Canis lupus familiaris: one gene and its partners. The protein of the gene in region 1 interacts with the protein of each later gene in a pairwise test. Links are inferred from orthologs where the notes say so. Each region holds a gene or a part of one and is shown in the gene's direction. Other genes may lie near its edges.

Region 1 (7,427 bases):
ATACAAGTTTTTGTGTGAACAAGTGTTTTCAGTCTCTTGGGGATATACACTAGGCATGGAGCTCCTGATTTATGTAGTAATTCTATGTTTACCTTTGAGAGGAATTCCTCATTCTAACCTGAATGTACTATCTTACTTTCCACCTGTGGCATATGAAGGGTCTAATTTTGCTACATCCTTGCCAGTACTTCTTAGTGTCTGTATCTTTGACAAGACAAAGTTGTCTTGTCAACAACTATACAAAGTTATAGTTGTTCTGGTGGGTGTGAAGTGAAGTGTGAAGTGGTTCTCATTATAGTTTTGGTTTTCATTTTCCTAAGGACTAGTGATTTTAAACATTTCATGAGCTTATTGGTCATTCATATATCTTCTTCGGTAAATTGTCTTTTCAAATTTTTTGCCTATTTTTTTACTTAGGTTTTTGTCTTATTTTTGAATTGTGTTTGTTATATATTTTGGATTAACGTCCATTATCAAACATGTGATATATCTACAATTACTTGCAAATATATTCTCCTATTTTGTGAATTGTCTTTTAACTTTCATGACAGTGTCTTTGAAACAAAAGTTTTTAATTTTGATAAAGTCCAATTTATTTTTTTCTTTTTATCAATTGTGCCTTTGGTATTGTACATAGAAATCTTTGTGTAACCCAAGCTCATACATATCCCTTTGTTTCCTAACAGCTCTACAGTTTTAGCCCTTACTTTTAGAACTTTGATCCAGTTGGAGTTCATTTTTGTATATGGTGTGAGGTAGGGGTCCAAATTTGTTATTTTGTATGTGCCTATCCAGTTGTTCCAGCATCATTTGTTGAAAGGACTATTCTTTTCCCATTTAATTACCTGGTACTCTTGTCAAAAAATAATTGACTGTAAATGTAGAGGTTTATTTCTGGACTTTCAATTCTATTCCATTAACATATAGTGTCAGTCCTTAGGACAATATCACCCTGTGTTGATTACTGTCGCTTTGTTGTAAGTTTTTAAAATGGGAAGAATGAGGATACCTGGGTGGCTCAGCGGTTGAGCCTCTTCCTTTGGCTCAGGGCGCGATGCTGGAGACCCGGGATCGAGTCCCACATCGGGCTCCTTGCATAGAGCCTGCTTCTCCCTCTGTCTGTCTCTCTGTGTCTTTCATGGATAGAGAAATAAATAAAATTAAAAAAAAATAAAATGGGAAGAATGGTCCTCTAACTTTGTTCTTTTTCAAGATTGTTTTAGCTATCCTAGGTCTTTTACATTTCTATATAAATCTAAGGTCAAATTCTGCAAAAAAAAAAAAAAAAAGACAGCTGGGATTTTGATAGGTGTTATATAAAATCTATAGATCAATTTGGGGGTATTGCTATCTTAATAATATTAAGGCTTCTAATCCATGAGTATGGAATGTATCTCATTTACTTAAGTGTCCCTTGATTTCTTTCAGCAATGTTATATAATTTTCAGTGTAAATGTTATATAATTTTCAGTGTAAAAGTTTTGTACTTCTTTTAAGTGTAGTCCTGAGTATTTTATTCTTCTTGGTCCTATTGTGCATGGAAATGTTTTCTTAATTTCATTTTCAGATTGATAGATATTCAGTTTTGGTTTATTTTGTGTCCTCTGGCCTTGCTGAAATTGTTTAACAGTTTTAGTAGGATTTTGTTGTTGTTTTCATTTTGTTTTGGGGTGTGTGTGTGTGTGTGAAGATCATGTCAACTGAATTGTGTGTGTGTGTGAAGATCATGTAAACTAAATTTTTTTTTCTTCCTTTCTAATCTGCATGCCTTTTACTTTTTTCTTGCTTTAGTGCACTGGTTAGAATACCCATTAAGTCTTAAATACAAATGATGACAGCAAACATCCTTGCCTTGTTTCCAGTCTAAAAAGAGAAGCAGTCAAACATTCACCATTAAGTGTGATGTTAGCATTAAGTTTTTAAAAAGTTTTTATTGGCCCTTTATCAGATGAAGGAAGTATCCTGCCATTTTTTTTCTGCATTTATTAATATGATCATTCAGTTTTTGCCCCCTATTCTATGAATATGGTGTATTACATTAGTGATTTCAGATGTTAAACCAACCAGCTTTATTTATTTATTCCAGGGATAAATCCCCCTTGGTCATAATATATAATCTTCTTTATATCTTGCCTGATTTGATTTTTCTAATATTTTGTTGAGGACTTTTTGTGTTCAAAAGCATCATGGATATTGGTTTGTTTTCTTATTACGTCTTTGTCTGGCTTTGGTAGCAGGATAATATTGGCCTCACAGAATAGAGTTGCAAACTATTTTTCTGATAGAGTTTGCAAAGATTCATATTACTTCTTTAAAGGTTTAGTAGGATTTACCACTGAAGCCATCTTGGCCTGGGCTTACCTTTATGTAAATATTTTAAATTACTAAATTATTTGCTTGTTATAGTTCTATTCAGATTTTTTATTTCCTTTCAATTCGGTTTTGATGTTTTGTATCCTTCCAGAATGTTTTTCCACTTCATAGCTTGCTGATGCCACAGCTTACCTATGGGCAAGGTTGCTTTTTAACCAGTACACTCTCATACGGTCATAATGGTTGTTGTTTCCCAGGAGCCACTGCCCTGGGGGCTCCTGCCCCGCCCTCAAGCTTCCTACATCCTCCCCCAAGTCAGCCCCCAAGGGTTAACACCTGTAACAGCAGGGGACCTTCTGAACCTAGTTCCAGCATAGTTGCCATCTATACAGATTGGTTGGTCCTCCTGCTAAACCAGTTTTAAATTGTTGAACATCACCTCTTGAAATGGAAGACTGAGACCCCACTTCAGACCTCTTCCTCCTCCCATTTTGTTCTGAGGCTGATCATGTGCTTCAGCATTCTACTGAACAGGTCTGGCAGAAGGAATAGCATCAATTGATTGGATATGTCTGACTGGCAGTTGTGGGAGCCGATTGAGAGGCCTGGGAAGCTTTACCCAAGGCTGGCAGGGAGAGGGTACTGTGTGGCCCTGGGCTGATTTCTAATGAAAATTTAAGCCCCACCTATGGCTATTACAAAGAAAACAAAAGTGACTGATGATAAGCATGTAGCTCCAAGTAAGTGAACTGAAGAGGATGTCTGTGCTAAAGATGTTACTATAAGATGCAACACACATTGACACAGACACATATTTAAAGCAAGGTCATAGATTCACATGTTTCCAAAAGCCAGGCAGGTACCGTGCCTCATTTAATTGGCAGAGATGCACATTTTGGTGTTTAAACATCTCTGAAATTGGAATGCATGTTACCGTTGATGGCAAGTCATAGTTTAATAGCTTTGTGGTTTTATTCTTAGTGGTTATAGGATAGTGATGTATCTGATAATCTTATATCAGTGATGGCTCAGATCAGATTACATTTAGGAAACGAGTGGCAAGTGGCATGGGCTAGGAAAGCCATATCCCTTTATGTCAGCCTTTCACTCTGAAAGAGAGGTATGGTTACAGAGACCTATTCTTTTACTATAAGGATAAAGCAACACAGGAGCAATGACAAATGGCAACTACTTTGGTGCCTCCCTGTCCAGGAGCAATAGGGAGTGGTGGCAACTGGCAATCGCCACGGCTTCTGCCATTCCCCCCTGATGGATTGTTGCCTGTGATGACATAGGCTCAGTATTTTTTTTTAATATTTTTTTTCAATTTTTATTTATTTATGATAGTCACAGAGAGAGAGAGAGAGAGAGGCAGAGACACAAGCAGAGAGAGAAGCAGGCTCCACGCAGGGAGCCCGACATGGGACTCGATCCTGGGTCTCCAGGATCAGGCCCTGGGTTGAAGGTGGCGCTAAACCGCTGAGCCACCCGGGCTGCCCGATAGTGTTGTTTTTATAGGAAGCCAAAAATCTCAAAAGCCAGATCCTAAACCTTCTAATTTTAAAGTAATGGCTTAATTTTTTTTTTCCCCTTTCTGGCCAAAAAGAAAAAAAAAAAAAGCATGTGCAAGTTAGATCCAGCCTGTGAGTGCTTGGATTAAAATGGCTCTTTTAAGGATTTAATATTTTAAGAGGCAATGTGAGACAAACCACTTGTTACAGTTAAGCCGAAAAAAGAAAGAAAAATCCGCTCAATTTCAAAGTTTAGCACTAGGTTCAAGGCCCAGAGTAGCAAATATTACAGAGCATATTACTCACATAGCTTCTAAAATTTCTTCTCTGCCTCCCCTAAGTAGAAGATAAGAAAGTGTGGTTAGATTTGTTGAAGATGTTACATTTCCTTGTTATAAAAGTGTATGATTACTTTTTAAAATGCCATCTTAGGTTTCCAAAGCAAGAATATTTGCTTCCCACTCCTAAAGACTGGTCAATGAAAGTCAGAATGATGTGGTAGGAAACCACCAAATTCTTAGACGACTGGAGTCCTGATTCTGCCTGTGTGACATGGGGCAAGTAATTTAGCTTCTGTCAGCTTCATTGTCCTCAGTTATAAAACAGAGATAATCATACCTGTCTCCCACATGGCTATGGCAAGGGCCACAAAAGATAAAATATGGGAAAGCATAAAGGGTTATGTAAATACCAGTTGATATTGCCCAAATCATGTGAGTAGTTGGACCAGCACAGATTTTTGAATCTCAGATTCCCAAACCCAATCTCCTGCTCTTTTTGTAGACCATAACACTTACTGAAATGATCAAATCATCAACTAGTGGGCTGAATAGATGAGAAAGCTTAAGTCAAGAGCTTGTTAGAAAAAAAGTCAGCCACCATTTTGGCATCAGAGATAGCACGGAGTCTCTGTACAGCAGGGTTTAGGGAAAGCTTAAATGTTGAATCAAAAGATGAGCCTTCCACGTTTTGAAGGGCTACCCAAGAATGGTTTTGCTGGGATTGATTGGCCTCTGAAGTTTTCTCAGACTGGCCTTCAACCAATTTCTTCCCTTTCTCATGTTTTCATTCTATATTGTCTCATGAAAGAAAGAAAAGTTCTGACTTTCTTCCTTCTTGGTGAAAATGTAAAGCTCTATTTTGGATTATTAAGGGGTGGCCACCTTTACCTTGGTAGGTAGGTCCAGGTTAACTGCTCAACACTTAACCTCTAGACATCTCAAATTCTATTTGTATAAAGGCATAGAAGGTTACTAATTTTTTTTAAAAGGAAAGGAAAAATATTATCTTTAAAAAGATGTCTCTCAGGACTAGTGATATATTTTTAGCTTCTTTTTTCTTCTAAAAATTTTTTAAAGTAAGCTCTATACCCAACATGGGGCTTGAATTCATGACCCTGAATCAAGTGTCACATGCTTTACTGACTGAGCCAGCCAGGTGGCCCAATATATTTCTAACTTCTGAGTTGGACATTCTTCTTCTTTTTTTTTTTTTTTTTTGAATTGGACATTCATTTTTTTTTTTAATTTTTTTTTTTGAGTTGGACATTCTTATAGAAATTTTCTCCCATAGCCTCAAATTCAATCTGGCTGAGACCAAATTGATTATCTTATCAAAAGGATAATTCTCATTTATCTTGTTACTTCTGTCCATGACATTACTGTGTTTTAGGGGTCAGTAAACTTTTTCTGTAAAGGGCCAGATAATAAATACTTTAGGCTTTGAGAGCGATACGGTTTCTATCACAAATACTCACTTCTGCTGTTGTAGTACAAAAGTGGCCATAGATAAGATGTAGATGGATTAAAAGGGCTGTGTTCCAATAAAGCTTTATTTATGAAAACAGACAGTGGGCAGCACTTGGCCCATGCCATAGTGTGCCAGCACCTATCTAGAGTTCCTGGATGAAAATGTCAAAGTCAGTTTTGACTGTTTCCCTTCTTCAATTTTTACATCTAAGCAGCTCTCAAGTTGAGTAATTACTTCTTTCAGTAATTCTTATCCTTCCCATCACTTCCCTTCTCACTGCTGCTGTGCACATGAATTCATTCTATACAATATTCAGTGATTCGTGCGACTGGTGGTAAGGGCTGGCTGCAGGACCATACCCACTTAGTAAAGAGGGTACCAAAATTTCTAGGGGGATGATTTTTTTTTATTGGTTTTTTTTGTTTTTGTTTTTGTTTTTTTTATTGGCTAGGGGGATGATTTAAGAAGCATATAAAATATTCTAATTTTAACTTTAGGGAAAATACCTGCTTTGTCAGAATATAAATTATAGAAAGTAAAACCAATGAAATCTTACATGAAGGGCCATGGTTAAAAATGGTTGTCAAACGTTGCTCAAATTTAGAATTTCCCAAGGTATGCAATGTTTAAAATTGGTGATGCTTAATGTGATGTTAGGTGGAACACAGACCAACTTTTATTTTTTTTTTATTTTTTATTTTTTAAAGGGAAATTTTTTTTTTTAAGATTTTATTTATTTATTCATAGAGACAGAGAGAGAGAGGCAGAGACACAGGCAGAGGGAGAAGCAGGCATCATACAGAGAGCCCGACAAGGGACTCGATCCAGGGTCTCCAGGATCACACCCCAGGCTGCAGGCGGCGCCAAACCGCTGGGCCACCGGGGCTGCCCCAGACCAACTTTTAAAATATTATTAATACTTGTGTTTTTATTTTAACATGTATTGGAGAAAATATGATGTCAAACCCATAATATATCTGGTTATTTTTTTAGGGTGAAGCTGAAGTAAATATTTAGGTTTTTAAAAAGTTGTAGCCTTAAAGAAAAAGTTAATATTGTAGGCAGAATATAGATATGCTAACAGTTGTCAAGATGGTAAAAGAAAAGTTTGAAAATCAGTGACCACTTTACTGCCTATAGTTTCCATTATATTTGCCTACTAATTAACAGATCTGTCTCAGCATTGTCACTTATCTTTCTTGATAAAACCTTGAGGAGCTCATCACCACCTGCCAAATAAAGTCAATTAAACTCTTAACCTAAAATCAATGTCTTCTAAGCCTGGCTCCAGCCTTCCAGTCTTCCTCTACCTCCTGGCTTTCCAAACAGTGCTCAGAAAGTACCAGTTGCCTAAGAGTTAATGAGTGCTCCAGAAAAGAGGATTTCTTTTTTTTTTTTTTTAATTATTTTTTTTTTTTAAAAGAGGATTTCATAGTCCAAAAAGTTAGGGAAAGTGTTGCATACTGTATCCCTCTGAGTTCTATTCACAAGGAATTATACCATGTTCAAACCTTTGAGGAGAACCGAGGTAATGAAACTTGTCCATGTTTATCATAGAACAACATATCCTGTTGTGGAAACAGTCTGTGTGTTTATCAGCTTACTTGATCATCTTTGTCGATAACCCTCTCTTTTAGATTGTACATTAATGTCTTGTGTGTCTAGTGTAATAGGTTGGTTTGGAAAATGCTGTTCTATATCCATGTCTCCAACCTTCCCCCACTCCCCCTGCCAAACTTACCAACCAAACTGAACCACCCCCCATTAGATATCTACCCAATTCATTTGCACTTTTGAGCCTTTGCTAATTATGCACTCCACTTGGGGTGCTTTCTCCTCTCTGTCCTTGTTCTC
Region 2 (7,191 bases), on another chromosome or scaffold:
CCAGACCTGTTCTCTGCTCTGTAAGGTGGCTGATAAGATGGTTGTGGACGGTGTATCAGAACCACATCCAAAAAATAAAAAAATAAAATAAAAATAAAAATAAAAATAAAAATAAAAAAAGAACCACATCCAGCTGTGATGTGGGACTGGGACTCCACAACCTTGGCCCAGATGCCCTTGGGCAGAAGTAGGGAAGTGAAGAGAATATCTTTCCCAATGGGCAAAAGTGCCAGAAACAAGCTTCCCCGGAGTCTGATAAGAAAACCCCCAAAAGAGGGATGCTGGAGTGGCTCAGCGGTCGAGCATCTGCCTTTGGCTCAGATCATGACCCCATAACCCCAGGATCAAGTCCCACATTGGGCTCTCTGCATGGAGCCTGCTTTTCCCTCTGCCTCTGTCTCTGCCTCTCTCTCTGTGTGTGTCTCTCATGAATAAATAAATAAAATCTTAAAAAAAAAAAATTAAAAAGTTAAAAAAAAAAGAAAACCTCCAAAAGAGAAGGAGGCCAGGACTGGGGGGATGGTGTCCCCAAGCACAGAAAGGCCATGTCTAGCTCCCCATCATCCAGACCCTTGGCCCATTCCCTTCACTGTGGATGACAGCACACTGTCCACCCATGCAGGCCCAAGGGGAAGCCTTGCTCCTTACCTAGTAGGGCTGAATGGCTGCGTCCAGGACCCCCTTGGTGTGGCCCTGGTGGTCAGGACCCTCCCAAAAGAGCACACAGAGGAGCTATGTGTCGGTCTCACAGAAGAAGTAAATCTTCTCTCCATGTTCCTCATAGTATGTGTCTCCAAGCAGGCCCAGTGGCACTGGCACCATGGGTGTCTTTGGGCGCTCCTGGTTCTTGCAGCATGGACAAAGCAGGACCTCGCAGGATGGCTGGGCCCCCATCTGGGAAGGCAGGAGGAGGCACGGCCAGCAGAGGGCGTGTCCACAGAGGGCAATTACTGCATCCCTGAGGGGTCTCCTGGCGGGAAGGGCTGGAAAGCATCATGGTACCTCCCCAGCCTGTCCAGGGAGGCCTCTGCCTCTGGCCATGGAAGTCCTCTCTCCCTGAACTCATTCACTTTGGCGTGAGTCATGGAGGGAACATCATGGGTAGCTGAGAGAGAAGACAACAGGAAAGTCCCAGTGGGGATGCCACCCAGCTCTACCTCTTAACATTTCCCGAGCCCGAGCTGAGCCAGGACCACCACACTTCAGCTGAGTAGGTTCAAACTCCAGGATGGCTCCCATTACCTAGCACTTCCCAGCAGTGGCCTGGTCAGCCCATCCGCCACTCCTCCATGTCCTTCTGGTCCCTAGGGTGGACTTCATGGCCCCCAGTGTGCCATGAAGTCACAGGGAAATGGATCTTCCTGGAACACTTCCTGTGACCACTGTGGGGTGGAGAGCGTTCGGAGAGCAAGGAGCAGGTGGGAGCCAGGAGCTCTGATTATAAGGTGTGAGCTGTGCCTGCGGCGGCAAAGTCCAGACTGCCATGGGAGGCGCCCCAGGGCCCCTCCTCTGCCTCCCTATGGGGCTCACCCCACCTGCCTGGCCCAGCCTCCTGAACCCCAAACAGAAACAGGGTGATGCTGGGTCACGCTGCACTTTAATTTCAGTCTTTAACCTCAGGTGGGAGAAGGCAAGAAATTATAATACAAATGATTTCTGTTAATGAAATGTAGAAAACTCAGCTCAAAAGGTCAAGGGTAGAATAAGCATATTTAGGAGAACTTAGTATTTTCATATTATTACAGCCAATCTGGCAAGAACCCTTTAGAACAGTTAGGACGATGTTCATTTTCCAGATGAAGGCATGTGAAGGGCCAGAGAGTGAGGCTAGCTAGCTCTAGGGTGGAGAGGAGTCTCTGAGCTTCCCAGCCCTATGCTGTCCCCATGCCCTGTGCTCTCCCCACACTGACCCCATGCCCACGGAAGGCCCCACAGCCACAGTCCTATTCCTGTCCCTGCATCTGTGGACAAGCCAAACACCCAGTCCTGCACCCAGCGATCAGTGCTGCATGGTTTCACCACCTCTTCACCTCTGTGGTTCGGTGTACCCTCTTTGTACCCACCCCCCCCACCTGTCCTTCATGGACCAAACAAGGGCCCATGGCTGGTTCCTGCTGAGATCTCAAAGACATAGCACCATTAGGACAAATGCAAAATGTTTCATGATGCATTCCTAGACTGAGCACATGGTGATGTGATAATTTGGGGGGCTAAATAAACTACGATAATGAACTTCATTTAGTAAAATATAGCTACCAGCAAACTTCAGCTGAATCCAGGGCTCACGTTGTGTTTCTGTTTGACAACAGGGCTAGGATGTTCAGACCTGAGTGCAAGTGTGTGTCTGCCCCCACCCAGCATCCACATGGAGTGGCCGCCTGCCCATGCCTTTGAGCACAGGCACCTTATCTGGGAGTGCACGCTGCCCTACCTGCAGACCCGCCAGCCCTGGGCCTGCTGATACCTGCAATCTGCCCGCACAGCCGGCAGCTGCAGGGGGGCCAGGGTGGCGGCTCTGCTCCCCAACCCACTGTCCCTCCCATCCAGAGGAAGGTCCATGTCCTCAACGGTGCGCGGCTGAGATACTGCCCCGTCCTTCCCAATGCATGTCTGCGGACGGACGGATGGACAGGAAGACACACGCAGCCGCCCAGAGAGTAGCCACATCGTGTGGGTATGCTGTGGCCCCATCTCCCTCCCAGACAGCGTGCACATGTTCCTGAGGGAGGAGGACAGAAGAACCCTGGTGTGCAAGCGTGAGTGTGAGTGTGTGCACGACCACAGGCATGTGCATTTAAGACGTGCTCCTCGTGTCTGGGTGTGTGCACACATGTTTGTGTATCCTCTCCCCCAGCCCTGCCCCTCAGCCACGCACTGACGCTGGCCGTGAGGACCTCCCGGGCCAGGTGGTACCATGGCATCTGTGAGCAGCCTGGCCGACGAAGTCAGCTGCCCCATCTGCCAGGGCACGCTAAGGGAGCCAGTAACCGTTGACTGCGGCCACAACTACTGCCGGGCCTGCCTCACCCGCTACTGTGAGATCCCGGGCCCTGACCCCAACGAGCCCCTCCACTGCCCCCTATGCAAGGAGCCTTTCCGCCTGGGGGGCTTCCGACCCAACTGGCAGCTGGCCAGCGTGGTGGAGAATATTGAGCGCCTTACGCTGGTGTCCACGCTGGGCTCAGACCAGGAGGACGTCTGCCAGGAGCATGGGGAGAAGATCTACTTCTTCTGTGAGGACGATGAGGCGCAGTTGTGTGTGGTGTGCCGGGAGGCCCAGGAGCACCAGGCCCACACCGTGCGCTTCCTGGACGAGGCAGCAGGGCCCTACAGGGTAGGACACGGGCCACTGGGGGTCCCTGGGCGCAGGCACGCCCTCCTTCCTGCCTCTCCTCAGGCAGCCGACCCAGGGGTGGGGACCGCATGTATGCTCAGGGCTCTCCGTGTTGCTCACAGATGGCCAGCACATACAGAAGCTCAGCAGGGTGTGGAATGGTTGAGTGACCACAGTGGGTCAGGGGTCTGAGGATGTTGGAGTCATGTCTGGGGGTGGACTGCACAAACAGCAGGGAGTGTGCATGGACGTTCACCCAGTTGCGTGCATTTGGTGTCATGGGGTGGGGAGCATGTGTGTGCTCGTGTTTGTGGATACTTCAGCGTTCAAAATCACGGAGGGGAAACATAATGTGCAATTGTGTCTATCATCAGCCACGTGCTCCTCTTAGTCATGTACTCACTGCGCTGTGATACAAGTGGGGTCTGTCTGGACATGTTAGTTCACTAGCATTTGACGGTGAGGGCAGGTATCTCTGGATGCCCCTCTGTGGACCTCCATGCATCTGTCCCTGATCCTGACTCTTCTAGAGTGGACAGTTTTTAAAACAGTGTATTGACCACTTTAATATTATGTAAGCCTCTCCTCCCATCTGGAACCTGACAGATTCTTGTCACAAGAGAGGACTGTTTGCACGCATGCCTTCTGAGACATGTCAGAAAGTTGGGGTGCTTTCAGAGAAGGGCGTGTCAGGCTCCAAACATGGCCCAAACAGATCTAATTAGGGTCTTCAGCGTGAAGACAGCAGGGCGCGGGTGGGGAAACTGAGTAGCAGCTTGTGCCGGCCTGGGCGGAGGGGACGGCTCAGGGCTCAGGGGATCAGCGTTTCCAGAGAGCAAAGCTGGAAGGAAGAGAGCTGGGGAGAGCAGCCTGCCAGGACGTTAGGACTGGCACAGTCAGTGTGGGCAGGGGTCCCGTCCTCAGGGCTGTCCACCCCAGAGGCAGAGACCCCCATGCACAAGCCATTGTTTCCTACTCTGTCCCTCCAGGAGCAAATACAGAAGTGTCTTGAGTGTCTGAGAAGAGAGAGAGAGGAGATTCAAAGAATCCAGTCGAGAGAAAACCAGCGGATACAAGTCCTCCTAGTAGGTCGCTGTCCCTTCCCTGGACCATGTCCCCGCGGAGCATGTGGGGCTGAGAGGTCACTCTGAGGTCGTGCCTGGGCTCCCACAGTAACCAGCTTTGTGACCTCAAGCCAGTCTCTGGCCTCCGTATTGCAGCGAAGCAGACACTACAAGTCTCCCTCCTCCCCAAGTCACTGTAATGTGTAGTGTGTTTGTGCCCCTAAAGCAACCTCGTGCAAGACGAGAGGTGTGCTGTCCCCACTGTCTCCTGGTCAGCTCCCGGCCTGAGCCACAGGCTTCTGGAAGCTCCCACAGAGGGGCTGGGGCCACGCCGAGCAGTCAGCCCCCAGAAGCAGCTTGGTGGGTGGAGGGGATGCCATTCTGTCCGGGCACCTGGGGCTGCTGGAGGCTCGGATTTTCCACTGAAACGTGGAGGACGTGAACCTGGGCCCGGCAAGGGCGGGGGGGTGGCAGAAGGAAGGGGGGAGGAGGAGGCATAACTCCCTCCTGGCCTCCACCCTGCCCAGTGCCAGGTGGCCACCAAAAGACAAAAAGTGATTTTCGAGTTTGCACATCTGAGTCAGTTCCTGGAGGAGCAGCAGAGCGTCCTTTTAGCTGAGCTGGAGAAGCTGGATGGCGACATCCTGAAGCAACGGGATGTCTTTGACGCCCTGGTCAGTGAGGAGATCTGCCGGTTTAGCACCCTGGTGGCCGAGCTGGAGGAGAAGCTGGAGAGGCCCGCCAGGGAGCTGCTGACGGTGAGCCCCGCCCGCCCTGCCCGCCCTTCCAGCACCGTCACGGTCCCAGCTGCCCCCTCCACGCATGTGTCCCTGCCTCCTGGACGGTCCCCCCGCCACGCTGTCCCTGGGCTCTGGCTGTCCATCCCACCTTCCATAAAACAGGGAGGACACCGTCCTTATCAACCTCTCAGGGTTTGGGGAGGGTCCAAAGGAAAAATACAGTACAAAGTAGCACTTTGAAAACATTGCCAGCTATTTCCAAGGCATGCTATTCTGCATCACGGGCCACCAGTGGCAGGCACTTCTCCCGGTGCATGTCATCTCCTTCCCTGGAGGGACGATATGAGGGTCCCAGCAAGGCCTGGGAATGGCGGCGTGACATGGGGTCGGGGGGCGCCCACTCGTGGTTCACTGGATGGAGGTGTGGGGGGACCCGCATGGGATGCGCCTTGGCCTCCAGCAGGTGTGCAAGTCACTTCACTGCATGGACCATGAAATAAAGGGCTTGGCCTCCATGATCCCGGACGCCTTGCCAACCCTACAATTCTGGGACTCCAGGACCCCATATGGGAACCCCAGGTTTGTGTTCTCTGAACTCCTGCTCCCCCCATTTCTCCTAGGGCGTCAGAAGCACTCTGATAAGGTGAGCCACATGCCTATCCTCACGCATACCTTGGCACATGTCGCTGCCCACACGCCGATGGCATTGTCACACCCAGGCTCATGGTCCACCTGAACCCCTCATGCCCTCCAACCATATCTGCCAGCAGTGGACCAGGTGTGGGTGGTGGGCCCATCCCAGAGGAAGTATGTCCGCCTGTGGGAGCGGGGACCTCTGTGCCCAGCTGAGTCTGGGGACATCGCGAAGGGGGGGGGGCTTCCCAAACCCTGCTCTTCCTGTACCCTAGGAGTGAAACCAGAAAGTGCCGAAAGCCAGAGGCTGTGTCTCAGGAGCTGGGCCAGAGAATTCGGGACTTCCCCCAGCGGGTCCTGCCACTGCGCAGGGAGGTGACGACGTTTCTGGGTAAGAGGTCCAGTGCCCCGGGCACAGCAGCCCAAGCTGCAGGGACTTTGGGCTAGTTCCCTTCCCACTCCCTCCTTCCCTTTACATCTTTATAAAATCCGCATGTCAGGATCATGCGATAAGTGAAGAGAGAATAAAGACGAAGATTTCAGAAAATATTTAACTGATATGAAAAATAATCACACAAATAAATCTGATCCCTTGACATTGAACAACATCAAAAATAATGATTAACAAAACTTGCCATTCTCAACGATTTACAAAATCTACAAAATCTATCTATTATACACCTATAATACATGACATTTCTGATGATGAACAATGTTAATAACCAGGAACAGCATTTCTCTTGGCCTTGTGGCAGCTTATGTCTCTTCCCCTCCTTCTCCCCTCCCCTCCCCCTCCTCCTTGTCCTTCTCCCTCCCCCTCCCTCTCTCACTTTCCTTGGCTCTCTCCCTCTCCCTCCCCCTCTCCCCTTGGGACAGCTCAAGCCCCAAGCCCCATCCTCCCTCCTCCCCTTGCCCCTCCTCTCTCCTCTCTCTCTCTCTCTCTCTCCCCTCCGTCCCCCTCCTCCTCCCTCCTTCCCTTCCCCTCCTTCCTCCGCTCTTCTCTCTCTCTCTCTCTCTCTCTCTCTCTCACCATCTGTCTGCTGCTACAGGTGAGAGGTCCCTGCAGGGGCTCTTCCCACTTTCCTAGAACAGCCGCTGGTGGTAGGAAAGGCTGTGAATGCCAGGAAATGAGTCAGGCAGTGGCTCTCTGCCAGCACACACTGTGACATCATGAATGGTGCCGGGTCATTTCTAAAGAGCCCACCCACAGAACTGTGGCCCCGGAAGAGGCCTCCATGCACTCCCAGTCCTGCAAGTATCCCCCGCGGTCCGGCATGGAAGGTCATTTTACTATCATCCAAGCTGACCTTTGTTCCAAGACTTATTTCCAAGAAGGATAAGAAATCTATTCATCTGGTAGAGTTTCTGGAGCATTTGTTCTGTCTCCGTGTTACAGAGTGCACATCCCTGAGGCCGAGCA
Region 3 (7,297 bases), on another chromosome or scaffold:
ATTTTATTATCCGACACAAAAATGTAGTTCCTGTGAGGGCAGAAATTTTTATCCATTTTGGTCATGGCTCTATCCTCAGAGCCTGGTGCATATTAACTGTTCGATAAATATTTGTTGCATGGATTTGTCAAAATTTTGAATGTGGAGGAAGTCGAGGAAAAATTATCAGATTTCGATGCCTCTGGATTTCTGATAATCCACTGGCTAACTTTTCCACCTCAATTCCCAAATACAATTAATTATTAATAGCATAAGCCCCTAATTTTCTGTATTTATTCTTTGATTACACCAATATCCTCTGAATCAACCTCTCTGCCTCCAGATTGCACCAGTACAACCCATTTTCTGTATTCTGGTTTTAAATATTACTAAATACTTTCTTGCTTAAAATTTTTCTTTGGCTTTCTGTTTTCCTCATAATTAAGCTCAAACTCCATGATCCTTCCTTCTCTGGCCTCTTCTAACATTCAGATTCATGACCCATTACTACTCCTTTCACAGTATACTTCAAGTCCACTGCCATTCTTCCCTTTCATTCGTCCATTCAATAATCTATTCAACATTAAACAAATCTTTATTGAGCACTCTCTAGTAGATAAGGTGTATTTTAGGTTTTTAGTATTCACCAATCAATGGGATAGTCATAGTTCCTACAAGGTCTCCTTTACCTATTATTTTGTCGCATTATAGCGTTGCTACTTGTTTATGTATTCATTTCCCCCACTGTTTGGAGGGTCTTGAAATCCAGGACTGAGTCTTATTCTTCTTTATATGGGCAATATCAGGAACGGAACCTTACGCTGAGTGGTTGTTCAGAATCTGCTGTTTGAATGACAAAATATGAGTTAAAATGTTGAAATGAACTATAAAAATACCATCAAAAGTAAGAACCTGGTGCTGGCCCCTGTCATTTCCCTGATCACATTTTGGTTATTTATTCATCTGACAAACATCAATAATCACCTATTTTATGCCAGGCTCTTATGTGTTTAAAATGTCACGTTTAGCTCCTAAGCTGTGGGTTCCTACTGCAATGCCCATGAGTGTAGCGCAGTATTTGGGACATGGTAGATGCTCACTGTATAGTAGTAGATTGACTGAAAATAACCACAAAAAAGGAAAACAGGTACAGATTTTGGACCCAGTGTTTTCTGGAGGTAGTGGCAATAGGTGATTCAATATTGAACTTTTAACCAGAGTAAGGATTATTCTTATTATTGAAAATTTTGGGAATCCCTGGGTGGCTCAGCGGTTTAGCACCTGCCTTCAGCCCAGGGCATGACCCTGGGGACCCCGGATCGAGTCCCACGTCGAGCTTCCTGCATGGAGCTTGCTTCTCCCTCTGCCTGTGTCTCTCATAATAAATAAATAAATAAATAAAATCTTAAAAAAAGAAAATTTTGTCAGTTGTCATTTTCTTGGGGGGGGTATATACATATACAAGAATGCTTTCTAGATGAATTTACCTTTATTTGTTAATTTGAGTATAGCATGTAACTCTTTGGATACTATTCCGAGACAAAAATGATTCAGATCTAAGATTTTTTAAAATCTCGAAATCGAAGTATGCCACTTATAAAAATGAACTTTTTACTCAACATGGTATGTTAGAAAATGGTAAACCAGTATGGCAAATACATAACTGTTGGCATCCAAGAGTCAAGGCACTAAGGGTTAGGAAGGTATTTTAAGGGCTAAATCAATAAGGCGAGGTGACAAATTTGGATATGTGGGGTTTGGCTGAAATAATGCAGTTCTTCGGATGACTAGAGTTAAAATTTCTTTTTTTTAAAGATTTTAGGGCAGCCCCGGTGGCTCGGCGGTTTAGCGCCGCCTTCAGCCCGGGGTGTGATCCTGGAGACCCGGGATCGAGTCCCACATGGGGCTCCCTGCGTGGAGCCTGCTTCTCCCTCTGCCTGTGTCTCTGCCTGCCTCTCTCTGTGTGTCTCTCATGAATAAATAAATAAAATCTTTAAAAAAATAAAGATTTTATTTATCCATAAGAGACACAGAAAGAGAGAGGCAGAGGGAGAGGGAGCCCGATATGGGACTCAATCCCGGGACTCCAGGATCACGCCCCGGGCCAAAGGCAGGCTCTAAACCGCTGAACTACCCAGGCGACCCTAGAGCTTTAATTAGTAAAAAGTTACTGTCTCTGAGCCGGTTCACATCACTAACCAGCTTCTGATACGCTGAAAGCCAGAGCAATAAAGTATTGTAAAAGCTTGCTAGAGAGGCACAGGAAGTTGCCTGTAAAGGGGGCGTGGCGTCGGAAAATAAGTTTCCGCCAAACGAAGGAAAATAGCGCTTCCGGTTACGCCATCGTTGTGTCGGGGCTTTCTTCACTGAGGTGAGTGGAAAGAAAGAGGCTCATAATTTTCACAAGTGAGTCTCCAAACCCTCCCGGGAAGCTTTCCTCCTTGCTTCAACATGGGGTGGAAAGATTTCATCCCCAGAGCACATTGTGTGAAGGATGTTTCTGACGCTTATGGTTCCGGTCGCCTGTCTACCTATTCTGAAGATGGCAGGCTGTCCTCCCTCTCTATTTTTGTCCTTTTATCCCTGGTCATTCTTCACCTCTCCTCGTTACCCCAGATCCTCTTCCTGATATTTCTGAGCCTGGGCCATTTCCTCTACCACAGATTTTTTTCCTACCTCTTAACTTCCACCTTCTTCCCCGGCCCCTTTTAGCCTCAAAACTTTTGCAACCCCCTTCTCCCGTTAGGAATCTACGCCCTTCCTTTTTCTTCAGCTCCAGTACTTTACTTTCCACCCCCCCCGCCCCTCCTGCCCGCCTCTTTCAGAGTCCTTTGAATTAAAAACTTGCCAAAACCAGGTGTGACTTCAGTTTCAAGGTCAACTCTTTTATTTCCTTAAAATAAGCAGTGGCAGAAATTTTAGTCCTAAGACACAGGAGCTTGTTCAGATTATTATATTATTGCTGAGTTTATTTTTACTCTTAACCAAAATGATACATCAGAAACTGCACTGATTTTAACCCTCCTGACATAAAAAAAAAAAAAAATTGGCACAGAACTCAATCCCCACTTTTTAGAGGAGCAGTCATAGGGGTTTTGCCTGTAAAACTTGTGTCAATTCTTGATGGTCGAAGCTTTCCCATCTCCTTTAGAACTTGTCATAGGACAGAAATGGTTGACGGATATGACATCCAATCACAAATTTATTTTTTCATATGAGTTATGCCTATTCAAATCTTTTTCTGGTCTTTGGTGGCAACATTGAACAGCAAGCTGACAGATTTTCAAAGTTTTCCTGGGAACTTCGCAAGTATTCTCTATTTCGTGCAAGGTGAAATATATTTTTCTGTTCCATTCATCATGTTTACTTTGTCTCGTGAGAACGTTAGTTAATCACAATTTATTATTCAATTTTTTACCCAAGAGAGGGGATATGATCATTAAACTTAAAATGAGTGTCAGGATTATTCAGGCTCTAAAGAGGAATTTATTCACCAAGAATTCCCTTGAACAAGCAATTTATTCCTTTCCTCCTGTAACTAGTGTGTTATACTTGCCAAAATAAGACGTAAATCTTTTTCTGGGCTAGGTGTAATTTTCAGTTCGTTTAGAAAAAAGTCAGGCTCGACTTCATGATACTAAAACACTTAAAAACTTTTTTGAAGGGTATTGCTGATGTCTCTGTATTCTCTAGTCAAGTTATAGTAACACAGCATTTAAATATCCCACGGCTTCAACCCAGTGTGCAACCATCATTTATTCATCTAAGAATTTTTTTATTGAATAACTTTATGTGTCAGACAGTGTTAAGCACTGAGGATACAACAGTGGAAAATAAAAAGCTTATTAAACTTTAGTTGAGAGACAGTAAATGAATATATAGTAAATATGAGTAAGTTGTAATGGAGAGGAGATGTAGTATTTTAAATAGGGATGGTGAGGAAGGCTTCCCTGGTAAGGCAACATTTGAGCAGAAACCTAAAGGAAGTGAGGGCACGAACTATGTACAGCTATTAATGGGAAAAACAGGATATATCTTATGTTGGTGTCTCTGTATTTGTTCACTCTGCTTCCACACCCCCCTTGCCCATTGTCACTTTTTTGCATGGCTTTAATGTAGCACTCTACATACTGAAATAACCTAATCCAGGCACATACATTTCCCATATTCTTTTGTTTTTTAATCTTGGCGAGCTTCTTGCTATCAATTAGGTATGTTGTTAGTTACCAGCCCTCTAGGAAGACATGTCTTTACATACATTTAGGTATGTTGTTAGTTACATACCTAATACGTCTAGAAGACGTATCTTTACATCCATCCTCACGTCTTCTTCAATCTTTTATCCGCAGTGCATTGTGTGCTATCCTACAGCATATTTGCTTACCTCTCTCACTGCTCTTATCACTGTGTGCTCATGATATGTTGCCCATAAATGTTTGGTATGTTAAATTGGAGGAATTGAGTACTTGTCTGTCTGTACAGGCAATCTTTTAAATATAGTTGGCCCTGGGATGCCTGGGTGACTAGGTAGTTGAGCATCTGCCTTTGGCTCAGGTCGTGATCCTTGGGTTTTGGGATTGAGTCCCGCATCAGGCTTCCTACAGGGAGCCTGCTTAACCTATGTGGTGGTATTGTTTGATCTTTCATTTGTATTCACAATTTATTTGTAATTGATTTCTTTGTATGTTTTCAGTATGAGTTATTGGTATGCGTAAAGGCCCCCCTTTTGTACATTTTTTGAAATGGACATTCAAGGGTGCCTGAGTGGCTCAGTCGGTTAAATGTCTGCCTTTGGCTCATTTCATGATCCCAGGGTCCTGGGATCAAGCCCTGTATTCGACTCTTTATTCAGCGGAGAGTCTACTTCTGCCTCTCCCTCTGTGCCCCCACTTCACCTCATGCTCCCACTCTTTAAAAAAGCAGATATTTAATCAACCTAATATCACTATTGAAAAGATAGCTATTTCCCTCCTATAGAGTCATGTTTTTCATAAATCAAATGACTAAGTTATTTATGTGGGTTTATTTCTTCTGAATTTTGTTCTGTTTGGTTAATTTTTCTATCCTTATATAAGTACCACTGTTATAATGGATGTCCTTTTATAATATATATCATATGTATATAGTCATTTAGTCTTACAGTTTTGTTCTTTTTTTTTCAATAATGCCTAGTGATTCTTGGTCTTTTGAATTTTCATATGCATTTTTAAAAAATATTTTATTTATTTACTCATGAGAGACAGAGAGAGGGAGAGGCAGAGACAGAGGCAGAGGGAGAAGCAGGCCCCGTGCAGGAAGCCGGATGTGGGACTTGATCCTGGGTCTCCTGGATCATGCCCTGAGCCAAATCAGACGCTCAACTGCTGAGCCACCCAGGCGTCCCTCATATGCATTTTAGACTCAGCTCATCAATTTCCACAAAAATTCTTCTTGACATTTTGATTGAAATACCACTTAATACATCCATTTGAGAAACATACATCATGGCACTTTACCCTTAAATATCTCAGTGTTTATCTCCTAATATTAGGGACATTTTATAGATAATTTAATTACCATTATGTCACCAATAAAAATTAAGAATAATTTCCTAATATCATCTAATACCTATACATTTTCTTTTTTTAATTAAAAGTTTTTTTAAAGATTTTATTTATGACAGAGAGACAGAGCATGAGTGGGGATAGAGGGAGAGGGAGAAGCAGACTCCTTGCTGAGCAGGGAGCCCAATGTGGGGTTCCATCCTAGGACCTGGGATCATGACCTGAGCCGAAGGCAGACGCTGAACCGACTGAACCACCCAGGTGCCCCACTTAATCCGTTTTCAAATTTCTTTCTTTTTCCCAATGTGCCTTTCATAGCTGATATTTCTGTTTTAAAAAAGACAAGTGGTGCTTACTAAGGTTCTATTTATCATCAGGCAATGTATAACATTTTATTTAATTAAAACAAAAAAAAGAATTATGATGTACAAATTCTTCCATTTAATAGGAAAGGAAAGGAATCAAATTGGTTAAGAAACTTGTTCAATTACAAAGCTTCAAAAGCTGGGACGCCTGGGTGGCTTAGTGGTTGAGTGTCTATTTTCGGCTCAGGGCATGTCCCGCATCGGGCTCCCTGCGAGGAACCTGCTTCTCCCTCTGCCTATGTCTCTGCCTCTCTCTGTGTGTCTCTCATGAATAAATAAATAAAATATTTTTTAAAAAGCCTCAAAAGCTCTTCACATTCAAATGCATAGTTCTATAATATCCCATGCTCTTATCACTGTATATCATATACAAAAGAATAAAGGTAAAAATCAAATAATAAAGAGGTAGGGAGAGGAAGAAATCCTGCTGAGGGACCTGTTATTTATAAAATGCAAAATATAAGTCTTAAAGCTGGTATTTAAAACCATCACCCATAAGGTATATTTATATTTTTTGAGATGTTTTTGTTGTCCTTTTCTCTATTTGTTCAACTTGTGCATATTTATATATTTAGTACTTTTCAATCCATTGCAGTCATCATTTCTTCTGTTGATCAAACTATCCAGTTTGGAAGAAGCTAGTTGGAACCCTTGACGTTGGCTCCTTTTTTCATTTATTACTAAAATTTTCAAATACATTTAAAGTTAGTAAAATAGACAAACATGTATCCATTCCACAGCTTCAACAATTAATACCATTTGTACAAATTCCTTTGATCTTTTCTCCTCACCCACTTTTTTCCCTGGGGTATTTTAAAGCAATCCCAAACATTATGTCATTACACAGGTAAATAACTCACTATACATCTCTAACTCTTAAATGCATTATACTAAGTAACCACAGGGCCATTATACTTAATAGGATTAACAGTAATTCCTTATATTATCTAATACCCAGGCTATATTCAAATTTCCATGATTGTCTCAAAGATGTCTTTTTAGGGGCACCTGGGTGGCTCAGTTGGTTAAGCATCCGACTTTTGATTTTGGCTCAGGTCATAATCTCAGGGTCATGATATCAAGCCCTGCATTGGGCTCAGGATTCTTTTTCCCTTGCCCTCTGCCCTTCCCCCCGCTTGTGCATGCACACACTCTCAAATAAATAAATCTTTTAAAAATCTATTATTTTTTTTAAAGATTTTATTCGTGAGAGACACAGAGAGAGGGGCAGGCTCCATGCAGGGAGCCTGATGTGGGACTCGATCCCGAGACCCCAGGATCTTGCCCTGGGCTGAAGGCAGGTGTTCAACTGCTGAGCCACCCAGGTGTCCCATTAAAAAGATATTAATAAAAATGTCATTTTATATTTGCTTTGTTTTGTTTTTTAAAGATTATTTATTTATTCAGGAG
Region 4 (7,429 bases), on another chromosome or scaffold:
GCATCATATAACTTGGAAAAATAAACTAATAAATTTAGTGCAATTTCCATGAAAATTCCATCTCTTTTTGAACTTGGAAAATTTTATAAAGTTTTCTGGAAGTTTCTTTCTCTTTTTATTCTTCTATATACCGTAGGTCATATTTATTTTTGCCCCTTGCAGAATCATTTTCATTTAGTTGAGCTTTATGTTAGGCCTTCAGCTGAAACTGGAGATCTTCTTTATTTATTTATTCAACAAATATTTATTGAAGCCTAAGCTGTGGCAGGTACTGTTCTGGATATTTGGGATCTATCTGTGTCCAACTTTTCTGGAACTAGCTTTCTATCCCTCTAAGAAACAACCATATAAACGTAGCTATTCATTGAGACTATTTGCTACTTTGCAGAGTACACTAGGGAGAAGTTTCTTAAGACCTACCAACTAGAAAAGTGGCTATGGAATTTATCATATAAAGTCTACTTATGAGCAAAGGAAAGTTTCTCCTTTTGATTTGCCAGGGAAGTTCTACTTGAGGAACTGTAAGATTGTATGTCTATTGTATTCCAATGCAAACTTTCACCCCCTTTTGGAATGTCTTGTCTTCCTATTTCATCTATATTTTCGCTGGCCTTACTATTAAAAATTTTGAATTTTTTTGTTTCATTGTATGAAACAATGTACGTATGAACTGCTTCGAATATCAAATACCCTGTGGGAGTAGAGGAACTAGATAACACCAAGGGGAAACAGACATCCAGAATGTGGTGCGTTTTTTAAGACAACTGCCTTTGTCTCTTCAAAAAAACAATATTAAGAAAAGCTAAAAGGTAGAAGGGACAATTCTAGATTGAGAAATAGGGAAAAAAACTTTACAAAAACATAACTGAATGCAATAAGTAACCCTTGATTGGATCCTGGCTCAAAAGAAAGTATCTACTATAAAAGATTATTTTGAAGGAAGCTGAGGAAATTTGAATATGGCATGGATAATAGATAATATTAGTAAATGTTAATTTTCTCAAGACCTAATAACAGTGTTATGATTATGAAAGAGAATGTTCTTATTCTTAGAGATACATACTTAAGTATGTTGGAGTGATGTATCCTGTCTGCAACCTTAGGATGATTCAGCAAAAAAAAAAAGTATATATAATTTTTACAAACATTTTTATATGGCAAATGTTAATTGTTGAATTGTTTGGTCTGCGTATTGGGTAGTATTAGAGTGGAAACTATTCTGTGAAATATTTGGAAAATTTTAAAATTGATATATATTTTTCTATTGTGCACAGATAAAAGACATAAAACTGTGGTTATCAAAAACATTTGAATATTTCAGTGAAGCAATTTCCTATGCAGTAAAGCTTCTAAAGAAAGAGATTGGGGAAAGGAAAAAAAAAAAAGAGCGAGACGGGGGCAGCCCGGGTGACTCAGCGGTTTAAGCGCCACCTTCAGCCCAGGGTGTGATTCTGAAGACGTGGGATCGAGTTCCACGTCAGACTCCCTGCATGGAGCCTGCTTCTCCCTCTGCCTGTGTCTCTGCCTCTCTCTCTCTATGTGTGTGTGTGTGTGTGTGTGTGTGTGTGTGTGTGTGTGTGTGTGTGTGTGTGTGTGTCTCATGAATAAATAAATAAAATCTTAAAAAAAAAGAAAGAGATTGATACTTTAATTTTCTATGGGGATTAAATTTAGAGACTCTATTATGGTCCAACTATCACTAGAACCACTATAGGTGTTTGCTAGAATTTTGATGTTCAACGTTACAGAGATCTGCAGAACTATCTCTGGGTAATTTACTTATTCATTACTCTCTGAGTAGTATTTTCATACATCTGATTTTGGGAATCATTATCTTTGATTTCATATTCTGCATTTATACTCCCTAACACATTCTTCTCAAATGGTAATTTTCTTATGCAAGCCATTAGAAATTGTTGTAGATACTATTGTAGTTAAATTTAGAAAATATGCTTCAGGACAGCCTGGGTGGCTCAGCGGTTTAGCGCCGCCTCCATCCCAGGGCCTGATCCTGGAGACCCAGGATCAAGTCTCACATGGGGCTCCCTGCATGGAGCCTGCTTCTCCCTCTGCCTGTGTCTCTGCCTCTCTCTCTCTCCCTCTGTGTGTCTGTCATGAATAAATAAATAAAATCTTAAAAAAAAAAAAAAGAAAATATGCTTTAAATATTTTTAAAATGAATCAATAAAACCTTATGTTAAAACTTTTTCAAAGAATTATATACTCTACCAGATGGAGATGTATCTCTCTTGTTAAATTTTAGTATGGAAAGAGACCACAACATTGTCACAAGAGTGTATATGTAGACTTAAGAGGGAAAAACTTCTGAAATTCCTAAAGAACTTGGAAGAAATTTAGTTGAAACCTTAGTGTTCTAATGAGAAGAGTTTGCCTCTGTAATGTAGCCCATGTCAATATCTACTTTTAAAACTAGAATTTGTTTTGATTTCAAGTAAAGTCGATGTCAAAGAAAATATGATCCTGAAACACTGACCAGAATAAGTAAAATATAAAATGTAAACAAAAACATTTAAAAACATTTAAAAACTAAGCACATTCATAAAATTGCCAACACAACAGAGAAAAGAATGCAAGAGGGCTGTTCAACCCCACCACAGGGATTTTCAGAGTACTGTTTTTAACCAGATAGATGAAAAACAGCAACAAAATCAGGCTCATTCAGGAAAAACCAGAAAATACTCTATTTGGAAACTGGTAGTAGTCCTTTTCAGGAAAAAAAAAAAAAAAATCTGTCAGTTTCATGAACCCCCGGATAAAACAAACAGGAAAAAAATCACACACACGATTCACTCAACAAAACGTCCTGTGTTAACACAACCAGCAGTACAACCATCACTAAAACCGTGAGGTAGTGATAGTACAAAAACACTGACACACGTGTGAACCCACACATGCTCACATTCACGCCCACTACAGAACACACACAGGAAGTGGGTTTGCAACCTCTTTAAAGACAAGGACAAAACCTTTTTGTTTGTTTAGAAAATGCATAGAAATGGCTTAGACATTTTAATTAAATTATTATAATAAAAACTTGAAAAAATCAAATCACGTACGAATGACTCATTTCCCTCTTTTCCCCCCCTACTACTCTGTGTTTGAGTGAAAGGCTCTTGTGTAACAAACGGAAGGGAAAGGAGCAACTTCAAGCGGTGTCTGATCAGCCGTCATGAAATTCCAGGGAAACGCAGGAGAGCTTTAAGGTTATTCATAAATCTGGAGTGGCGAAGACCGAGTCTGTGCGAGAGTGGTTTCACTGGAAGTGGAAGTTTGAACACGGAGGCTTGAGAAGCGAGGGCGGAGAGAGTAGACCACTTATCAATAACCTCGGGATTTGTTATTCTTGCCGCTTGCGGACTATGACATCACTGAAATTCTGCAACTACTCCCGCTGAGACCTCACTGAACTCTCGCGATACTAGAGCCCAGGGGCGCGCGAAACGCCGTGGGAGGGGCTGGGTGAGATCGACTGACTTCCGGCCAGGCCGTTGTCTGGGTGGCGCGGTCGAGTCATTGCGGGGCCGCGGCGCTTCGCTCTCCCATCCCTCCCCCCGCCCCGGCGCGGGGGGTCGACCAGCCGAGTGGGGCGGGCGGCGACTCGGCCCTTCCCCTCCGTTTCGCTCTGGCCAGCTCCCGGGCCCCGCGCGCTGGGGTCTGGGGTCCTGGGGGCCCGCGAGGCCCGGTCTGAGGGGCCGGGGCCTACGTGGGCCCGCCCGCCGCTGGGCCCCATGAGGCATAGCCTGACCAAACTGCTGGCGGCCTCGGGCAGCGACTCCCCAACCCGCAGCGAGAGCCCGGCTCCGGCCGCGACTTGCTTGCTGCCCCCGGACCTGACCCGGGCGGCGGCGGCGGCGGCGGCGGCGGCGGCGGCGGCGGCGGCGGAGGAGGAAGAGGCGGCGGCGGCCGGATCTCCCGGCCGCAGGCAGCCGCGGGGCGACGAGGGCGACTCTGAGGCCGGGAGGGGGGGCCGCGGCGGCGTGGCCGTGCGCGCGCCCTCGCCCGAGGAGATGGAGGAGGAGGCGATCGCCAGCGTCCCCGGGGAGGAGACGGAGGACATGGACTTTCTGTCCGGGCTGGAACTGGCGGATCTGCTGGACCCCCGGCAACCGGACTGGCACCTGGAGCCCGGGCTCAGCTCGCCCGGGCCCCTCTCCTCGTCCGGCGGAGGCTCCGACAGCGGCGGCCTGTGGAGAGGGGACGACGACGACGAGGCCGCGGCCGCCGAGATGCAGCGCTTTTCCGACCTGCTGCAGAGGCTGTTAAACGGCATCGGAGGCTGCAGCAGCGGCAGTGACAGTGGCAGCGGCGAAAAGAGGCGGAGAAAGTCCCCAGGAGGCGGCGGCGGCGGCAGTGGCGGCAACGACAGCAACCAGGCGGCGACAAAGAGTCCCCGGAAGGCGGCGGCGGCTGCTGCCCGTCTAAATCGGCTGAAGAAGAAGGAGTACGTGATGGGGCTGGAGAGTCGAGTCCGCGGTCTGGCAGCCGAGAACCAGGAGCTGCGGGCCGAGAATCGGGAGCTGGGCAAGCGCGTGCAGGCACTGCAGGAGGAGAGTCGCTACCTACGGGCCGTCCTGGCCAACGAGACCGGACTGGCTCGCCTGCTGAGCCGGCTGAGCGGCGTGGGACTGCGGCTGACCACCTCGCTCTTCAGAGACTCGCCCGCCGGTGACCATGACTACGCTCTGCCCGTGGGAAAGCAGCAGCAGCAGCAGCAGCAGCAGCAGCAGCAGCAGCAGCAGCAGCAGCAGCAGGACCTGCTGGAAGAGGACGACTCGGCGGGAGGAGTGTGTCTTCATGTGGACAAGGATAAGGTGTCGGTGGAGTTCTGCTCGGCGTGCGCCCGGAAGGCGTCGTCTTCTCTTAAAATGTAGGGTCAAGTAATCTGCTCTTTATCCGCGTTTACCCCTTTCAACTCCCTTACACCATGTAAAACACCTTAGTGGGACATCTTCACTGGACACATTTCAGAGGAGGAAAAAGTAATATTGAATCGTTAAGTGTTTAGCTAAAAGCATGAATGTGACACTGTAACCAACTCCTAATGATAACATGTGACTATTAAATCTCTCTGACAGTTTCTTTTTTAGGTGATTTCCTTCCTGCCAGGCTCCGTTGTAGGGGTTACAGAACAGTCGTTCCCGCCTCACAACCTGGTAAGGATCCATCTCTTCACGTAACGCTCATGCTCTGCTGCTTAGTCTACTTTAATGGGCAACATCTCAATTTGTGTGTGTGTGTGTGTGTGGGTTTTTTCTTTTCTTTTTCTTTTTTTTTTTTTTTTTTGGAAGGTGGGAGGGGAAGTCTAATTTGGGCCCTGTCCACCCTGGAAACAGACTTGTGCTGGTCAGTAATGTATTTAAGATGCTTCTTCTGGTTGAAATAGCTGTTAATGTGTCCCCTTGTTCAGACTTGCGTGTACCTAGCTCTTCTGTCCCCAGTGTGGACATGGCCTTGGATGACATCGGTTCCAACTGTACACTGAAAGCTGCTAATAGAGATACAGTTTGGAGACAGTCAAACAGGTGAAGTTGAATGGAAGTTCCGAGTTGTACAAGGTGCAAATTGGAATTCCAATTTTAGAGCAACTTTTTAGAGGTTGACAATAAGTATTTGGGGCTTGCACAAATGTGATAGTTAACTTTGCTGAAGATGACAGAAATATCTTAACTATTTGGGTATGCCTTTTAGTTTTCAGTAGGAGATCTAGAAATACAATCTATTCGGATGAGAAGATTTTAATCTCACCATTTAAAAAGTTGGAAATTAACATGCATCTCTGTGTTAATTAATTGAAGGAGGAATAAGAGTGGTTAATGAAATGTTTCTTTGAGGACCAGCACAGTGATTACCCTATCACTGACTATAAATAAATTGTTGAACACCTTTACTTTTGTTGTATTAAAATTTTAGGTTAAATTTATGTATGATTAGATAAATTGAAGGTTTGTGAAATGTGAATGAAAACATGTAAAGTGAGGCTTCACAAAGAATCTTACTACTCTCCTTATTTTAAGGTTTTTGTCCTTTTTAAAAATAATTTTTTTAAATTGGCTGGTTCTGGCTACTTAAGGACACGATCGACACTTTCCAAAGATGGGACATACTCTTCCCTTGAAGTACTGTATTATCCATTGTCCAGTTGTATAGATTGAGTTACGGTGTCCTTCAGTGTAAGAGGCATTAAGAAATTCTTTGTGAAACATCACTGTTTGATAAAGTATATACATATTTAGCATCCTTGTTTTTCTTTGTGCTAAAGTGGATACAGCTGTTGGGGCAGAAGAGACGGGACCAGCTGCTGGCCACATTTCCTGCTTTATTTTAAAAGGTAGTATAAGAAATGAGGAAAAAGAGGTAATTTCAGGGCTTCTGCTGTCTTTTTATTTTAAAATGTTCATAATTAAAAAGTATTTTCCAGCAGTCCAAAGATGTAAGTTATCTTACACATGTTTTATTTTGTTGTTATTTGGTTATAAAAATGGAATCCTTGTTCTTGCAGAACTGTAAATGTTTTGTTGCTAGATAACATGATTTGAGACCTAACTTTGGTCTCTGGTTTCCAGTGCATTACAGCATATTTTGTAAAATCATCTGCACTTGAGCATGAATGGGTAGTACCAAATTCACAGCCTGGAGTGATGAACCTGCTTATTCCTAAGTGCAGGAGCAAGCCCCTCACAATGCAGCTGCATGGATTTTTAGTGCCTACTGAATTATATATATATACATATATATATAAAAACCAAAAGTAGTTGGAAAAATTATTTGAAATGACTAATTTGTGCTATCTATGGAATATGTTAAATGTAGCTTTTTGAAACAGAAGCCTTGAATTGAAATTTAATTAATACTTGAACATTTTGTATATATTTCTTTGTATATAATTTTGTGCAGTACCAATGACAAAAATACGGTGTCATAATAAAACCAGGTTTGTTGATCTTTCAGTTATGGGCTCAAAGAATTTATTCATCTCTAACATGACATTGGAAAATAATGGATGAAAATAGGAAAAATGATTGTTGTTAATGCTGACTGTGGGTCTTAAAAGGTTCTGGAAGCAGTAAGTGTGTTTTTCTAAAATACCATTCCCTTGGAATATTTTCTTCTAATGTCAGTGCTTTTCCTGCATCATTTGAAGTTCGGGGCTGGGGAGAAACAGTAATCAAAGCTTTCTGAAGTGGGATGCTTTGAAAATTCCAAGTGTAGATTTTTAGGATGTCATTTTATAAATGGCAGTTTTTGGAAATACTTGATTAAGAACTTTTGAAAATGGAGATTAGTATCACCTATTTTTAAAGCTGCTTTGTTAGGCTTCTTATGTTTTAACTGTCTTTCCTTAGTTTCCATTTCATTCTTTTTTTTTTTTTTCTTTCTAATTTTGGTGACTTAGTGATTTTTGTCATTT

Evidence for each region.
Region 2: the proteins of TTC23 (region 1) and tripartite motif-containing protein 10-like interact in binary tests that used the Homo sapiens proteins (3 or more experiments, as listed by UniProt). The two-hybrid records come from large-scale screens. The link is inferred for Canis lupus familiaris from reciprocal best matches to the Homo sapiens genes TTC23 and TRIM10.
Region 3: the proteins of TTC23 (region 1) and MAGED1 interact in binary tests that used the Homo sapiens proteins (3 or more experiments, as listed by UniProt). The two-hybrid records come from large-scale screens. The link is inferred for Canis lupus familiaris from reciprocal best matches to the Homo sapiens genes TTC23 and MAGED1.
Region 4: the proteins of TTC23 (region 1) and CREBZF interact in binary tests that used the Homo sapiens proteins (3 or more experiments, as listed by UniProt). The two-hybrid records come from large-scale screens. The link is inferred for Canis lupus familiaris from reciprocal best matches to the Homo sapiens genes TTC23 and CREBZF.

The regions. Positions count from the first base shown.
Region 1 is NC_049224.1:41,887,286-41,894,712, forward strand, and holds the start of TTC23 (tetratricopeptide repeat protein 23), read left to right. Parts: upstream 1-2,868; 5' UTR 2,869-3,001; coding exon 3,002-3,053; intron 3,054-4,145; exon of another isoform or gene 4,146-4,160; intron 4,161-7,427. UniProt on the Homo sapiens protein: Participates positively in the ciliary Hedgehog (Hh) signaling.
Region 2 is NC_049256.1:27,845,792-27,852,982, reverse strand, and holds the start of tripartite motif-containing protein 10-like, read left to right. Parts: upstream 1-2,501; 5' UTR 2,502-2,674; exon of another isoform or gene 2,675-2,762; intron 2,763-2,854; 5' UTR 2,855-2,914; coding exon 2,915-3,334; intron 3,335-4,323; coding exon 4,324-4,419; intron 4,420-4,925; coding exon 4,926-5,156; intron 5,157-5,214; exon of another isoform or gene 5,215-5,467; intron 5,468-5,598; coding exon 5,599-5,717; intron 5,718-5,810; exon of another isoform or gene 5,811-6,042; intron 6,043-6,046; coding exon 6,047-6,162; intron 6,163-6,801; exon of another isoform or gene 6,802-6,873; intron 6,874-7,191. UniProt on the Homo sapiens protein: E3 ligase that plays an essential role in the differentiation and survival of terminal erythroid cells. May directly bind to PTEN and promote its ubiquitination, resulting in its proteasomal degradation and activation of hypertrophic signaling.
Region 3 is NC_049260.1:44,748,600-44,755,896, forward strand, and holds the start of MAGED1 (melanoma-associated antigen D1), read left to right. Parts: upstream 1-2,305; 5' UTR 2,306-2,350; intron 2,351-7,297. UniProt on the Homo sapiens protein: Involved in the apoptotic response after nerve growth factor (NGF) binding in neuronal cells. Inhibits cell cycle progression, and facilitates NGFR-mediated apoptosis. May act as a regulator of the function of DLX family members.
Region 4 is NC_049242.1:13,868,683-13,876,111, forward strand, and holds the start of CREBZF (CREB/ATF bZIP transcription factor), read left to right. Parts: upstream 1-3,487; 5' UTR 3,488-3,749; coding exon 3,750-3,872; intron 3,873-3,905; coding exon 3,906-4,892; 3' UTR 4,893-7,429.